Drosophila melanogaster: one gene and its partner. The protein of the gene in region 1 interacts with the protein of each later gene in a pairwise test. Each region holds a gene or a part of one and is shown in the gene's direction. Other genes may lie near its edges. The genes, in order: CG32267 and CG15136.

Region 1 (8,527 bases):
GTGCACTCACTCACTCACTTACATGTTTGTGGGCGGGCAAATAAGCATAACGAGCTCCATTATCCTTGGGGAAAACTGGTTTGGGATGCAGCCTTCTTGCTCTTGCATTACGCATACGCCATGTGACTCACAGCGGAAAGCGCGGAGGGCGACTGGGGAAAACTCTTTTGTTGCTGCACCGCCAAATTGAAATAATATGCAGGGGACAGCATATATATATATGAAAAGGAAATGGAAAAGCAAGTTCCAAGCATCAGGAGATGAAAAAAGCATGAGTCAGCAGATGTTATATATACACTTATCGCAGGATATGCGAGACCAAAGGATTAAGGGCGCTGTGGTCGCTCGAAAAAGGGGGGATTTGTTTAATCGCAGAAATGTTGCTTTTAACAAGTGCTCCAAATAGTAAAGTTCATATTAAAATAAATAAAAGTAATTTATCATTTATGACCATATGGTTACCTATAAATTGTCATTTGTTTTCCCTTAGAATTCAAGGGTACCAAAACAAGTTATTTAATACTTTTCCTGTGCATTTAAAAAACAGAAAATAATAACATAATGCCTATGACAAGGACGCAGGACATCATCCAGCCGGAGGATTGAGATCCTGTGGACTAGAGGCCATTGTACACACGTAGGTCACAAGCGACAGTTCCTGCTCCTCTTTTGACTTTTGTTTTTGATAGCGAGCTTGAAACGAGTTTCCCCCTTTTGCAGAACTCCCATCCAGCCACCCTCCTGGGTTTTCCCCATTTTCCGTTTTGCCGGCTGGGGCGGCATCATTAACATTATGTAAGCAACAACAACAACAACAACCGGCGACAGCAACAGACGGTAGTGCTTTCACCTTTCTCCTCCTGCAAAACTACACCTGAAGTTGTAATTTATGCTCTGACAAAATTTTTTTTTTTTTTTTTTTTTTTTTTTTTTTTTTTTTTACGATGATGTTTTTATTATTTGATCAACGCACTGTTACCCATGCGGCAACTTAATTTGATCTGCTTAAATTATTTTATTTTACAATGTGTCTTGGTTACTTAAGACTAACAGATTTTTAATCCTAAAAATGATAGGGAGAATTATAATAGTTGATATAACATAGTAATTATTATTTATTTGATTATTCTAATGAATTTTAAAACTAAGACTTTCTAGGTCAAAACCAGGTTAGGGAGGTCATGAGGGTGGTGTCGCTTGAGTCTTCTTTTGACTCTAGTCCGAGGGTCAGCATTGACCACAGCTGCAGTTCCTAGCTTCCTTGCTAGGCTGTTGGGGTGTACAACTGACAAAATGGCGCACACGGAAAAAACACAGAGAATTGGGTGGTGGAAAGTGAACGGGGGGGTTAGACCTCTCACGTAACAACAAATGGGGCTAAAAAGGTGGTACAAAGGAGGCCGCATAGTTGGCCTATGTGTTGCACTTGACGGGGTAGCTACTTTTATGTATTTATTTATGTTTATACATATATGTATCTCAGGCGCTTGGCCTTTATGACCGCATAAATTAAAGCATCAACCATTGAAATATTTTATCATGAGTAACAGAAGGAGATGTAAGGATTTTTAAACGAGCTACACTGTGTCCTTAGTAGTTATAATCTGTGAAATAATAGAAGGAATCTTAAAGGTTTGAAAATTAGTTTCATAACTATGAAACTGAGTATCTTGTTAACACTTTTCCCATTCATGTTCAAACTTCGTTAAAGAGATTTCTTTTGTTTAATAAAGTCGATTTTTCGTGATTTTAATCCCAGCTTTCCTGAAAATTAATTTTACGACTGCAGCACTTGCCATCCGCATGAAGAATATCTGCGATTTTCAACTTTACATCCCACGCTGTTGGCAGCAAAAACTTTAATGGCCGGCCATAAAGGAGGAACCACACCGAATTGTTTGTACTGCCGCCACGATTGCGAGTGGAAGAAAAGCCAAAGATACATAAGCAAACACATGCATTCGCCTAGGTGAAAAGTTTTGAGCCAACTGCATAAACGAAACTTCTTATAAAGTCTATAAAACGTAATGACTCGCGCTACATGCGCGCCCAGAAAAGTATGCAACAAAAGTTCCGCTGACTTTGACTTGACAGGATGAAAATCGAGCGGAGCACAGGACTCTGGGAAATTCCAACAGGAGAATATTAAGTTTTCCACGGTCCCAGATGGGGGAATTGATTAAAGCCGCAGTGGCAGGGAATGAGACGGATTTGGTGCAGGAATTAAACGAAATTGGAAAAGTTGGAGGCGCAACGATGAAATCTTTAAATCTGATTAAGTTCAGACTAATTTACCAAAGTACCAAGGAGTTTTTACAGATCTTAGAGAGAAGCTTTCCTAAATATTTTTTATTAAGACACAAAAATGGTTGCCTGATTAAAAATTCAAACGAATTTAATTTAACAAATCTGCCGAATGCCATTGCTAATTCACCAAATTAATGTCAACAGCAATTCGGGTCAGAAGGGCCCAAATGATATTGCATTGAATAAATTAAATTAAATACTTTACTATTTCTACATTTATTGACAAATAGAAAGCAAAGCTCAATCAATTGAACAATTTTAAAAGTATATTGGCGAATGATATTAATATTGAATTTTCCTGGAAATACCACATCTAATTATTGTAATGCAAATATTGTCCAAATTAATTTAGACTTGTTTGTCTTGCTAATTGACAACGATCCCACATTTCCCTTAGGTAATATAAACTTTGAATTCTTTTTATCTGAATTTAATATGCCTGCTTTTCAGTGCTGATTACTTGGATTTTTTCCCATAGATCTTCGCTCTTGTTCGGGCTTTTCGAAGCTCCACTGTAGCGACCTCCTCACTGTGCATTCGTGACGTCAAGTCGAGTCGATTGGGGAGTGTGACTGCACTTGAAAATCGACCAAGGCGCTCGGCAATCGTTGGTGGCTGAAGGATGGTTGAAGGATGAAGGGTTTTCTGCAACAAAATGTCAAATCACCGACACCAGGCCACCGATACTAGGACACTTTCACCCACACCGACAAGAGCAAACAGCAAATTTGCAAGCTACATCGCGCCAATGTGTTTGTATTGGCTGTATCTGTGTTTGTACTGTGTGTGTGCGTGTGTGCTTGGGCGGACTGGCAATTGAAATTGGTTTGCAAAATGGCAGCTATTTATATTTGGCCAGGAGTCGTCTGCACTTGTCACACTGATTTCTGCCGATTAGAAATTAATCGAATTTTACTGTCAAATCGAAAGCGGCGGGCGTTCAGGAAGTTGAAGTTACGCTGCCATGGAAATGCAAAAACAAGCAAGCACAGACACGCACGCATACCAAAGCACAGAGGCGGGAGTATCCTGAAGATTAGGGTGATTCGAAAAATAAAATTGTACTGAGATTTATTTCGAGGTACATCCCCAGAAACTTGAAAAAAAAACTTTATACAACATTATATATGGTTTTTCAAAAGGGTTAAATGTTACTATCACAACAAATCTTTATTGGTCCTTTTAAATTGAGCCACCCTAATGGACGCACACACACACCCACACTTCCGCAGACTGACAGACACTGACACTGAATGTTACGCAGTCGGCGGTCTTGTAGGCAAAATACCGTAACATTTCGCCCGATTGCTGATAATCTGCCTTTATATAAGCTGGGAAAATTAAAAGGACACCCATCAGAGGTCCTTTGCGATATTTGATTGGCATTGCTTTGACTCCTCTCACCTGTTCCACAACTGTCGACATTTTGGTCTGTGTTTTATTTAACTAACTGCACTGCTCGCTATTTTGCTTCACTTTGTCGCTGTGCTTTTCGCACTTTTCGTTTCAAAAAAGGATTCGAAAAATTTATTTTTTAAAACCGCACCGCATTTTGGTTGTGTTTGCTTTTTCTTGAGAGATTTTACAATTGTACGAGCTTTGGGGGAAAATTCTTTAGCTTCGAACGCGCAACGAATCCGACGAGTTGCTGCTGCTGAAATCAACTAAAAACCCTTTTTTGGCGAGCAGGATACTCACGGATTTTTATCCTTGCTTAAGAGTAGTGTGACCATCCATGTGGTTGGAAATATACCGAAATATACCGGTGGCAGGATTAGGAAAAAGGTGCAGCACTCCGATATTTTTGCTCACAGCTGTTAACAGAGGTTAACAGTGCTGATTGTATTTCAATGTAATTGAATTAAATTAAAATACATAACATACATAACTAAAAAACATAATTATTATAATTATTATTATTGCAATGTTTGTTTTCTACTGAATATGACATATGGAAATATTTGCCGCACTGTATGTTTCAGCAAGCCAGGAACGGTCACTCTGACAACTTTTTGGTGCGACTCGCACGTTTTTCTTTGTAAATAAATAAAAAAAATATATTAATCAAGGATGTTCCGCCTGCAGCAGTCACAACCCGATCCCGCCGAGGAGCAGAAGCGCGTGGCAGCCGAAGTCCGCTTCAATTTCATCCTATTTGGAGCCGTAATAGCCGCTGTTCGCTTGGGTACGTGAAATTCTTATGTAAAGTCACTAAAGTTACTAATATTTTCCATTTGTTTATCTTGTGTAAATAGCTCCCATAGTCCTGAAGCATTTAAATACGGCGTAGAAGAAAAAATGATCGAAGAAGACTAAAAGCTGTCTACTTATTTAAAAACGTTATCAATTACCTAGTTGTTCAAGAAATTATAGCAAAATCCTAAGCAACTGGCACGCGAAATGCATTTATTTAAAAGCACTCTGACCCATTTGATGTCTTTTAAAGTTTAAATCGATGCATTGTAAATGTTTGGTAACTGTCGAGCGAATGGAAGCGAATAAAAAACAAGAAACATGTAACTTATAAGCCAAGGCTTTTAATGTTAAAAAATACTATAAAAACATATAAGAATGTGGATCTTTTAACGGGCAATGGGTATCTAGTCTTAAAATGAAATTAAACCATAATAAAACAAATCTTATTGTGAACAATCCCTGTTCAAATAATTTTAAAGCTTCCGCAATCGATATATCGATAACGCACTCCCATTAGCCACCAGAGCTGGCACATCTAGCCCAAATCGCTGTACTGCTCCTCCCACGCCAGTCGATTCTGGCGCAAAACAAGCCGGGCGCCCATCACTGCCTGTGTATAAACAGTTGGCAAGAAACGAAGTCGAAAAACAGAAGTTTTGCTCGAAATGGCAGCGTAAAAAACCATTAAAGCCACTTTCATTACTGCACGGCCGAGTCGGAATATATACATATATAGAATAGTGACAGATAACAGGCGGAGAGGCGGAAAAGCAGCGGAACACCCGGAACATATTGATACATATGGACGTAGACTTCAAGATAACGAAAGAAGTAAGTTGCCGCGTCGCGTTTTCCATACATTTACCTTTCACTAGCTGTTTCTTTAGCTTTCAGGCATTTCCGATAATATATAATGGTGGCGGCCAAGTACGAGCGGCTGAATACCAGTGGTGAGGCGGCCGGGAACGGAAATGGGAATGCCAGCGATGCAGAAGACGAGGAGATCGAACTCCATTTGGCGCAGAAGACGCAGCTGGGTAATGGCCATCGGTTGCGCCAGAGCAACTTCAAGTACGCCAGCGGAAAGTGCGGATCCGGAGAGGCGCCGTGCACCAACGAAACGGCCACGTTGGCCCAGGAGAACATGATGATGCAAATGGCCGTGGGTACGCTGGCCATTATCTTCCTGTATCTGGCATTATCCATATCGCTGACATTCTACCAAACGGACATCAACCGGCAGATGCCCTTTCCCCTGGCCATCGTAACCTATCATTTGGTTGTGAAGTTCCTTCTGGCCGCCGCGGCGCGCAGAATCTACAGGATGCGAGTGGGCCGATCGCGGGTTCAGTTGGATTGGAGGCTCGCCCTGCGGAAAATGGCACCCACGGGAGTTGCCAGTGCCATCGACATTGGATTCTCCAACTGGGGCCTGGCCCTGGTGCCCATTTCCCTCTACACCATGACCAAGTCCTCGACCATTGTTTTTATCCTGCTGTTCGCCATCGCTTTTGGACTGGAGAAGAAGGTAAGCCAATGTGCTATATGCAAATACATACTGAAATAATTATATTTAAAATCACGTAAACAAGTTTTTATGAGCGTTATCTACTTAACTGTATAAAAAGACCTTACAGGTGCAAAAATGTTTACAACTTTTAAAGCTTCTTATCAAGTAATTTGACTTAAAGGGAATTAGATATAATATAAGAACATACTGCTTAAACATTTTAGTCATTAACAGTTTTCAAGTAATGGTATTGATATCCCTCAACGATTGCGAAACATTTTTGGAAACCAAGTAATTTCAGTATTTTATCAAATATATATAAGTTCTTTGATCATATTTTTACCTATTGAAATCAAAACAAATGCACTTAATGAGACTTGATTATTTTCCAACAGCAACACGATAAAGAAAAGATAAAAAACATTATCTCGGATATTATTTTTGTAGACCACAAATGTTGCATTATTATCAGTCAATTGTAAGCAATCCATTTACCTAGTCACTTAACTTGTAGATAACGAATTTGGCATATTTATAAACATGCGATGATGTTGATATTAACTTTAGACCAAATGCTTATCAGTTAGATAATAAAAAAGGAAATAAAAATAGCACCAAACAGGTTTTATATGTGCTAAGTATTTGAAACCTGCTAGTGTAGTTTCTTATGACTAGACCTGAATTGGTAAAACCCAAGAAGTGAATAAGAATTATCAAAAATTGCACTTTCTTTGTGTCAAAATGGTATTAATGGCATTATTTACTTTCAGAGCTGGTATCTGGTCTCGATTGTGGGCCTGATAGGCACTGGCCTTCTGATGTTCACCTACAAGTCAACGGACTTCAATGCCCTTGGTTTCTTCTTCATCCTTTTCGCCTCGCTGAGCAGCGGACTGCGATGGAGTTTCGCGCAGTTCATAATGCAGAAATCGAAGCTAGGCTTGCACAATCCCATCGATATGATATATTACATGCAGCCGTGGATGATTGCCTCGCTGGTGCCCCTCGTAATTGGAATCGAAGGTTAGTTTGTGGCTTATTACTTGAAAATATGTTGGTAATCACACCCCCAATCCTCTCCAGGTGCCGGGCTCATCGCGGTAATAGAAGATCTGCACAACCACACTTCGAATGAGATAACTTGGGCCATTGCGAGGATATCAGCGGGCGCTTTGCTGGCTTTTCTCATGGAGTTCAGCGAATTCTTGGTGCTCTGCAAGACCTCCAGTCTGACGCTCTCGATAGCCGGCATTTTCAAGGATATCTGCCAGTTGGCACTAGCCGTGACTATCAGAAAAGACCACCTGAGTGTCATCAACTACATTGGCTTGATCATTTGCCTGGCTGGTATCGTTTGCCACCTACTGCACAAGTACTCCAATATGAAGGAGATGCAGCGGCAGCAGGAGTTGCAGCTCGATAACGACCAGGAGGAGTCGTCGCCAGGGGAGTACAAATTCAACGATGGCAGTGCCATTGTGGGTGTCCATGTGAAGTCGCACTCCACGCTGACGGTGCCATTGCTGGAGCAAACCGACTCGGAGGACGAGTCTGGTGCAAGCAACAAACAGAACGCCTCCGATGTGATCTTCGACGTGCTGAAGCGACGCGACATGCAGCGATGAAAGCCAATCCTTGTACAGATGTCCTGTAAATGTTGTAAATTCAAACTACTTTTATGTTTACCAGCACCTTGGCCCACGCAACTACTTACTACACTGGGATTAGCAATGCATGTTTAAGTAAGCTAGTTAGTTTGACACTCTTCATTCCTTCCGTCACCGATTCCCTCAACTTCCTCGATGCATTCCCGCCTTGTGCATTTAGGGGCTAGGCTAGATATATGAGACGTACGTCAAATTGAAGTGTAAAGAGTAACATCCATGTTTAAGTTGATTCGATTGTAACGACACGAAATCTAAGGAACGAAGAGTATTCTTTGGACAATCAATTAACTTCTAATAGCAGTTAGTTTTAATCTTTTTGCATTTGTGAAGCTGAAAATGTATTGAGAACTGTCCAAAGTTTGCTTGAGTTCCGAAATCTATCTCGTTTCTTTTTTGTAAAAACTCGATCTTAAGTCATACAACCTATGTAAAAATAAGAAAGCCTTAATGACCCTTTCATTGTTCCTTAACTGACATCTTTAATTTGGCATTCCAAATTGAATTGTAAACCCTTATAGTTATAAGAATTTTTAATTTGAAAGCTCCCGCAAACGTCTGATTAAATTAAACAAGGGGCATTGTTCTTTAGCGAATTATAAATAATGTCTTCGTTGTTTTTAGTTAATGCATCATTTTTGTTGAGTTTTTGACATATTGTATTTATAAGTTTATAAGATAATTTCAAATATATATTAAATACATATATATTAAAGCATAACATCACGATTATTATATGGGTGAGGTTCAACTCAATTGAACAAGACCATATCTACGTTATGGATGTCATTTCACTTCTAAGCTATTTGGATTTCCTCCAAATGGTAATAGTTTCGTTTTTCCCTTTTAC
Region 2 (9,226 bases), on another chromosome or scaffold:
TTTCTTAGTTTACGAAGCTTTGAGGGATTGCAACCGGATTTTCATTTCATTTTCTTTCATAAAACTTCTGTGTACTTTTGTGCACCCAAATCGAAATCCAAGTGCAATGGCAGCGGCCAAAATGCTTGGTCCAAATGCTCCGTAAATCCGTTTTGCCATCCCGAACGCAAAATGAAAAGCGTTTTGCAGTTTGTGTAACTATTTAAAAACTTTTGCCCCGCCTTTCCACAAACTTAGCGCTGCCCAAATTGAAGTTGCTCTCCTCATATAGAAAGATCAAAGAGGGTGGCTGTACTAGAAGTTTGTGATCGGTTATTTGGCCTTGCATTAATATATTTTCTTCCGATGCAAATAAGTAAAAATTAACAAAATGAATGGGAAATTCCCTGATAAAGGTTATAGACTTTGCTATATTCGTAGCCTTTTTTGTAAAGGCTTGTAAGGCTAAATATTGGCTTATACTTTATAATATTCCCCACTTATTTCTGAGGGATCCGCCCTCGTTTATATATATACGTATTTATGCACACATTTGAAGACCCTATCGTGTACGTTTCGGTACCCCCAGATCTCATCTTTCTGCTCATCCGAAACTTTACAACAAATTAAATTCAAGCCAAAACTTTTGGCAGCAAGGGCTTGTGAAATTCGAAGGCTAAGGTGCATGGACCATATAGTGTGGGTGCCCGAAATCGATACAAAGTTTGCTTTGTACGGCATTAAATTCACTTGCCATATGCAAGTGGCACCGCATCACTAGCAGCTGTGGCTTATGAAGTGCATTAACAAAGGGGGCAGGGACCCCAAGTCCGCTTTCCGTTCCGTTGGAAATGTATCTGCATTTTTAACGGCATATTTTAATGCCTGATTTTTAACGTCAACTCGACGCACTTATTGACAGCTGCGACAGGAGCGGCCCCAAACCTCCACCTTGATGCATATGTCATGCGATACAGAAATTTATTTGCCCCGAAACGCCGCAGGATACCCCAGCGGATCGAAGGCATAAAAAATGTTTAATTTAATTTTTGTCGCACCAGGGAGAAAAAGAAGAAATGCGTCCCGGCTACGCCTTGACTTTTTACCCACATGTATATGCATAAAGGCTTGCATACATTTTGTCATGGCAACTGCTGTTCAAACATAAAACGCTTAAAAAATGTTTATAGGTAAATATTTACTGTTCACGGTTTTTTCTTTGGGAAAAAGTTCGGGGAGTGTCGATAAAAGCTATAACTGCTGAGCCGGGCGCTAATCGACGTATGTCAAATTTTGATTGAGTTTTAATATCGGTGGCTGAACGGCGTAATTGATAATCATTCAATTATCAGAGCACTGAGTGCAAGTACCATTCATTGGTTCAGTTAAAATTTGTCAAAAAAATACCTTGCTGAAATATTTAGGAACTTAAGTATCTGAAAGCGATGAAAGGATGTGAGTATGAATGTGTAATAAATATAGTTATGAGTGTAAATTAAAGAATTCAGATAATTTCATTATTAGCTTGTAAAATGAAACATATTTATTATAATAATAAAAAAATATTTGAAAACCAATTATGCAATGGAAATAGAGCATATTTATCTAGCTCAAGTTCCTTTCTTAGACTGCAAAAATCTTAAAGTAAACTTTAAAGTGATTTTACTAGGTCCCACCATCATTTTTATTCAATTTAAGCCACTTCAGCTCCCTTTTCCCGTACAGCTCGTGCATCTGATTGTGAGTTACAACAAGAGATTCAGAGGGATACAACCCGTATGGCTTTGGCGAAGTGAAGGAACCAGGGAGCGATGCATGCAAATTGGACATTGCACTGATGAGCGATGTCCTTCTGCATTTCTGCCTTTCTGTCTGTGCGGTGCACTGGCTTGTTTAATTGCAACTAAAAGCGGAAGCCAACAACAGAGCAGAGTGCAAAATGGCAAAAAGAAAGACACGAATATAACGCTGACTGCTCCCCTGAACTGTGTCAAAAACAAGGACCAACAGCTGCGAAAAAAGCCCACACTCTCACACAGAAACGAGGCGAAACTAAAGATTCGCACACGAGTTTGTTGTTTAGTTTTGCTCGTTTGTTTGTTTGTCGCCCTGTTTGTTTGGCGTACGTTACTTCCTGCAATTTGCACACTGCCAAAGCGTCAACTTTCCTCAGTGGCATTGCAAAAAAATGTATTAAATATATACTAAACTGTTAAGCCCACATTTACATCTTTAAAGTTTTTTATATATATATATTTTAATCCTAGTGCCTGAAAGCCGAAGTAACGTAGATATCCATGCCATCTCCTTAGAAGGATACCTTTATTTAATAATCAACTCAAACTGAAACAGAAATTCAAACTAGTTATGAAGTAGTTTTGTAATTTGATCAATAGCAGATCATTAAGACTAACTTCATATGGGAGCAAACTTACTAGGAAGCTTTCTGATACGGGACTGCAGGCACTATTCTCATATGGAGACGGCGACATCCTTTCCCTCTCTGCAGGATGCAGGAGATCTGGGTGGGTGGCGAGAAGGTGAGAAGGGGCGTGTGGCCTGTCCGGGGGGCAAACAGAGACGAGTCGGCTTTCCTTTCTGACACACTATTTTGCATGTTGCATGAGCTGTCTCTCTCGTTCGCTTTCTCCCCTTTCTCCGGCCCCTTTCACCTGTGCCTGGCACATATGTCACTTGTCTAAATGGCAACGACAACGCTCACCCGAACTGGCCAGCCGATGGATGTGGCCAGGACGATGGTTTGGGGTGTGAAGAGGAGTGCAAGGGGACAGGTGAAATTTGCTGCCGACTGGCCATGCATGCAAATGCAACATTTGCAACTGTTTGAGTCGCTGTTTTCTCTTCCTATACCCTAACAGCAGGAGTTTTAATCTTTTAAAGCCATCTTCATTTTAATAGCCTTTAAAGTGATTTAAATATATGTATAATTGTTTTAAACCTTCTTTTTAATATTTTCCAAAGTTTATAGTGCCGTTTTTAAAATTAGTTTTTTTTTAGGTAAGAGTGGTTTCTGCTTCGGTTATAGAGACTTTTCTAGCTTTTCTTGTTTTTGCAGTTGCTTTCGCCAACAAGGTGGCAACACTGACACCAAGCAACGACACCAGCAACCCTGCTGCAACAGCAAAAACATGTGGCAAGACTACACCAACAACCGGCAGTAATTTGGACACCTTGTCTATGTGTGTTTGCTTAGGCGGGCGATAAAAAATATGGGAAGTCGGAAAAGCGGGTCTAACGGACCAAATGAACATCTAGGGAAAACGTGGGTAAAGGGTTAAAAGCAAATATGAGAGTCTAGACTATATTTGGATGCATGACAAAAAAACCTAAATAATATTCAATATTTCATTTCTAATAGTACGTTCAATTCGTTTAAATGTTAGTTTCCAAGAAATTGTTCACACAGAAGAAAAGCTATTTGCAGTATAATTGGTATAAAAACGAATTTCTATTTCATAATTGAGCTCAAGACACTTACAGCCTAATGAAATTTATTTATGCAATTTAACAAATAAAAAAATAACCCCTTTTGGCCTTCCTAATCAAGTTTGTCAACGATTTAACGCACATCAATTAAAGCCGCTCAAAGATGGAACGCTTAATGATGGCCTTTGTTTTCATCACTCTCCATGGCCAGTCATTCGACCAGTCAGTTAGTCAGTCAGTTTGTCTATCTGCTGTCCCTTTATATATATTATTGCGGATATGTATGTCTGTCCCTGTGGGGCTTCCCGGCAGTGCTGCTGATTTTATACATTCAAATTAGTTCGCTTTGCACGAGTGGCCCTCGAATGAGAGAGAGTACTGCTGTGATATTTCCCGACCACGGCTGACTGGCCAGGCAACCAAGCAACCCGTCGGAACACGGCACAACCGCTCCAATGCCACTACAGCATACATACATACACAAAGATATATGTATATACATATATATATGGAGGGGGTCCGGATTGGGGGGCTATCAAGTTGCCTGTGAAGTGCTTATCCTCAAATCAGTGACACTTGAATGTGCAGCCCATGTGACTGACCAAGTGGGTGACTGACTGACTGCTGAGCGACCAGAGCTGTCATCTTGGCTACTTTCCCTTCACAAATAATATAATGTAATATAATACAATTTAATATTATTCGTTTTTATATTAACGGTTTATATCTGAGGCATATTCTGACATGACTTCTTCATTCAAAGCTGAATAAAAGATATGATACGTTACTCCTTCAAGGGAAATACGCCAACACTGAGCAGCAACTTTACAAAAGTGCGAAGACTTCGTTTCATCTATTTACTTTGCCCTTCGACCACCGCTTGCCATTTGAATCTGAAACTGTCCAACAATTTGAGTGTTGTTTGTGTCCCTGATTGAGTAGCTAAATAAACTTTGGCCTTTTATTTAATTTAACGGATTTATGACTGTCGAAGATAATTGTCAAATGGCTTAATAGTGTTATTGAAACAGGAAGAACTACATGGTATTTTTTTACACAAAATGTATAGAATAAGAAGTCAAAAAAAAAAAAAACATCCCTTCAGAAACTAACAAATTAGTCGGACTAAACCTATAAGCTGAAAAACCTTGTCTATTCCACAAAATGGCCAATAAATTAGCGCAAGTAATTTGCGCAATTAACTAAAAACAGTTAAAACCGCTATTTGTTCGGTTAGCGAAATCGCTCGATACAGCAGCGCGAATGCAATGAATTGGCAATAAATTCTCGGTTCTCGGTTGAAACTTTCTCTAACCCCTTTCTCTTTATTTTATTCGATTGTGTGGGTGTGTCGGCAGAGTCAACTAATTTATGTTTTAACACACTCGCACATGCAAATTAGCACACACACAAAATGAATGCAAATATTGGGTTCCAAGGGGGCTGAAGCTGCCATAATGAGCTCAAGTTGGGCAAATGGCTGAATGGGTGAATGGGTCTGAGGTTTTCAGGCGTTCTTTGCGGTTCATCTGGCAACAACTGTTGACAAAATGAAATCAATAAATTTTAGCGCAAATCAATTAAAATACACCAGCCAGATTGAATTAGAGTGCTGGGTGCTTTTGGTCTTCTTCTTGTTGGCCAAACGAAAATATTTGTCAATTTGCGGTATTCACAAAATTAAATTTGACACACACGCACCAGCAAGATGGAATGTCAGGATGAGTTTTAGGCAATTTTATCTCACTTTGTGTGAAATTTGTTATAATTTATTTATACGGCTTATTAAAATTATTGTAAGTTCGGCCATTTAATTAAAAGTCAAACTTTATTTGCAACGAGAAAAGCGGAGCAAACATGACAGTTGAAAGTGGAATCAAATTTATGAAATCGAATTATGGCATGCATGGATTTGAAGCAGTTTTCGGGTTAAGCCCCAATAAGATGGATAAACCCATAAATCCTCAAAATAACAATCTAACAGAAATTGAATGGAGGTAAATAACCTTTGACATTTCAAAGAAATTACAAGGAATCGGGACAAAGGAGCATGGTTAACTTACTTTTTTTGAAATAGTTTTCTATTTAATTGAGTTGTACGTTCTGCAATCATAAATTGTGTATGTAAATAATAGTGTAGCTTTAATCGTAGTTGACTTTTCATTACTTATCCAATTAAATTTCAAAGGCCAAGCATTAAAAATAGTAGGAACACAAATTACTTCGTGAAGACAAACGTTGAGAGATAAACACCCTCATAGCAAAAATCGGCCAATACCAAAGTTTTGGCAAAATATTTTGGAAGCGGCTGTCTTTGGTCATTCATTAATATTTGGCACTGAATACCGGTAAGAAAATCAAATAATCAGGTAGTTTGCCCTGCCATAATTGTCAACTGAGCATTTAAGCAGAATAGAAAAGCTACTTGAAATCGTCCGGCCGGAACTCAAATGTAGATTTGAAAAACTATTCAAGTGTTAAGTGCTCTGCTGACCATGTTGAAGGACACCGCCACCGCATCGACCAGCGAACTTGCAGGGGAAGTGGGTGACGCCCATTCGACTCCTGGCAGCTGCCCTCCGCCCGCCGCGGGCGACACGCCCCCCGTCGTTAGCCGACCGCTGGACCGACGCCTAAACCCCAACGCACCTGTGTTTGTGCCCGACTTCAAGGCCAGCCAGGTGGCCAAAAAGCTATTTGATGAGTGTAAGTACGGAAAGGAAATAATGTTTATTTAAAACAATATATATTGTATTTTGAAGCCCTTTATATATATTATGCTTTGACTTGCATAGGTTTTTAGTATTGTGCATTTATTTATTTCTTTTTAATTTCCTGATGGATTTATAAATTTAATACCCATGCAGTATCTACGTACACCCGGTGGAGTACGGCAACCTCGGAGGACATATGCTACGAGCCCCGTTACGAGTCCATCTGGCGTGAGGCCAGCATCCAGCAGCAGCAGGGTCTGCGCCATCCGGGTTTCGTTTACAGCCTGGATCCTGGCGAGGAGGAGGTTGGCGAACTGGAGTTTGACGAAGTCCAGGCCATGAATATCGGAGCCGAGTCCTATGATCCCAAGCTAGGAAGCACATCAGTTAGCCAGGCAATGGAAGTTCGCGAAACTGTGGGTGATGTGGAGGAACCTTTAGATGAGGAAAAAAGGAATGGCTTTCAGAATCGCCACTCCGCCAGACCGGCCAAAAAGTGCTGTCTGGTCATGTAGGTCCCACGGAATGGCAAATTTATATATTTATTTTCCATTTGTTTTCACACCTACATGCAACTCAGTAAATTGCTTCCTTACTCTCTCAATTTGTGTATTTTTTTCCTATACCATAGGTGCTTATAAGGGATTTCCCTTTTAGTAAGTAATTACATTTTTTCTGAATTTAATACGCTTCCAGCGCGAAGAATTAAATTCTACAGGTATTTTCCAACGTCGTTGCAATTAAGACGCTTTTCAGAACTTTCTAAATGCACTCCTTTCAAGCCCACTTACGGCAGACTGGAAGAAAGGAAGCTCCGTGGAGAAAGGTCGACTATACCTATGACATAATTTATAGCCTACATTTTAGCGCCCTAAACGGGTTTGTTTTACTTTCCACGAAGGCTCTTGCCTTTCTGCCTTCAGCTACTTTGTCCTGACTTTCTAATGATGTTGAATATGCATGAAAACTTTTGCCGCACGCAGAATTCTCCTCGCTGGATGGCAGCTGAAAGCTTGATTCACCTGTCTATGGGTAGCATGGCAGCAGGACTGCCTTCAGATTTAACTACCACTGAAAATAGTACGGGCTTAAATAACTAATTTTTAAACTCAATAAAATAACATGTGGAATTTAAAAAACACCTTCACTTTCAAATACGAGTGGCTATGCAAATTAAATTTTCATTTAAACTAGCGTTTTTTTACTCGTCCAAATAAAGTTCGAACATTTTCTTAGACTGCACACTTTTGCATTGTCTGTTAGCAAAGTGGCGACAACTTTTCATTTTTTTCGTTTCTTGATTATTTTAGTTTTACTCAATTTTTGGATAAGGAAGGAAAACTCATAAGGCGTTTGGGTGCTGGAGTGTGTGTCTAGTAATGAGAAAACTTTCGTGTCCTTGCAATGTCTCATTTAGAGCTGTCCGTACCCCGATGTCTGATGTCCCGAGCCACGGATAACGCAGCTGCCCACGACTTTTGAATGATAAGCGCGGCGAAAAGGACACGCAGTGCAGTCCCATCTGCAGCTGCACAAATGCTTGGCGGAAACAATTACCAACTCGTATGCAAAAGTGCCAAATTGCCAATGGAGCTTCTCCATGGGCGAAACTTTCACGCCGCTCAATGTCAGCGGGACATGTGAGCAAAAGGAGTCGAATGGAGGTGCCGGACCATACACCTGGGCCCCCCAATTTTTGGTCCTTTGGCAAGGATTCGCTTGGCAATTTTGTGCCAATTTTCTGCGCCTTCTGTTTGTTTATGAAACAAGTCACGTAAGCGACGAAACCCGTTCGCTCCTTTTGCCCTTTTTGGGCGCGTTGAACTGGCAGCTGGCTAAGTGGGCGTGCCATCACCTTGTTTTTGCCACTATTACTCTCCCCGTTGTTGTTGTTTCGCCCTGGGGCGATTGTCATTGGAATCGAGAATTCAGCAATTGGCAAACGTCACGAAAGCGGCTAAAACTTTTCACGATCTTTCGCGCCCTTTTGCCTGATTGTTGATTTGGCAATCTTTTGTTTTAGCCCGTTTTCGACTGCAACTTTGTCCTTTTTTCCGAGCCTTTTTGTTGGCTTGTTTTAGGTTGCTATTTATTGCATAAAATTTATGCCCGTATATTGTGCAATTGAAAAAGTTTGTCATATTTCTGTGATTTTCCGCCCTTATCGTCGTCTGAAGGACAGTACGTTTCGAAAATATAAGTACTTTGCAACAAGAATATTACGATTCAAGAAATTGTAGTGTTCACTTATTTATTTTTCATTATATATGATAAACATTATATATAATAACATTCCCATTGCGTAACGCACGGTATGGGACTCTCATGAAATGTTAAAATCAGGAGAAACCAAAGCCGCTGGCATAAACCATTATTTATGCATCGATTTCAAATCACCAAAACAAAACAGAACGGATTGGGCCAGAAAAAGAAAGTCCCAAATAAACACAATGACAAAACGGAAGGCGGCAAATAAATAGACAACACAGGAATATGGGCAAACAATGCCTGCAATAAATATCCACACATAAGTGCAGTGCACACAGTCGGGTTGTCTTTATGCACCTATAAATAAATTCATTTTGTGATATTTATGCCACGATATGGCAACGGCTAAAATGGCAATCAGTTCAATGACCAACAAAAGTTTGTCTTGTCTTGCAGTTTTTAGTATTGGCTAAGTATCCTGTGTGATTTTTAGGTATCTTAGGCCATTTGAATTCAAACAATATACCTTAAAAATAATTTATTACCAAAAATCGATCGAACTGGTTTAAATAAGATTTTTAATATTAATAAACTATTTGTCAAGATAATAAAAATTGGGATTATATGTACACAGCATTACATTCTTAGATAATCGATAGTTTTTCAAGGCTTATTTGCCTCACAAGCCCAACAGATTTTGTAGGATACTTTTCCTGCCTGTTTTCGAAGGGACTTTTCCCTCGGTCCTTTTTCACTTTTGCCACTCTACTCCTTTATCCACCTCTCTCTTTTAGTTGGCAGCACTTTTAGTTAAATTGAGCAACAAACACGTTTGGCAATAAAAATGATTCCACTTCCAGTTGCTGCTGCCACGCCCC

Evidence for each region.
Region 2: the proteins of CG32267 (region 1) and CG15136 interact in a two-hybrid assay, tested with the Drosophila melanogaster proteins (one large-scale study listed by BioGRID).

Annotation. Positions count from the first base shown.
Region 1 is NT_037436.4:3,467,892-3,476,418, reverse strand, and holds CG32267 (uncharacterized protein), read left to right. Parts: upstream 1-4,305; 5' UTR 4,306-4,377; coding exon 4,378-4,492; intron 4,493-4,562; coding exon 4,563-4,597; 3' UTR 4,598-4,864; downstream 4,865-8,527. Other genes in the region: CG42324 (uncharacterized protein), read right to left, coding at 3,712-3,732; CG14971 (uncharacterized protein), read left to right, coding at 5,417-6,031, 6,784-7,036, 7,097-7,638; CycJ (cyclin J), read right to left, coding at 8,527-8,527.
Region 2 is NT_033779.5:17,044,677-17,053,902, reverse strand, and holds CG15136 (uncharacterized protein), read left to right. Parts: upstream 1-5,621; 5' UTR 5,622-5,774; intron 5,775-5,834; exon of another isoform or gene 5,835-5,837; 5' UTR 5,838-5,921; coding exon 5,922-6,132; intron 6,133-6,293; coding exon 6,294-6,655; 3' UTR 6,656-6,742; downstream 6,743-9,226.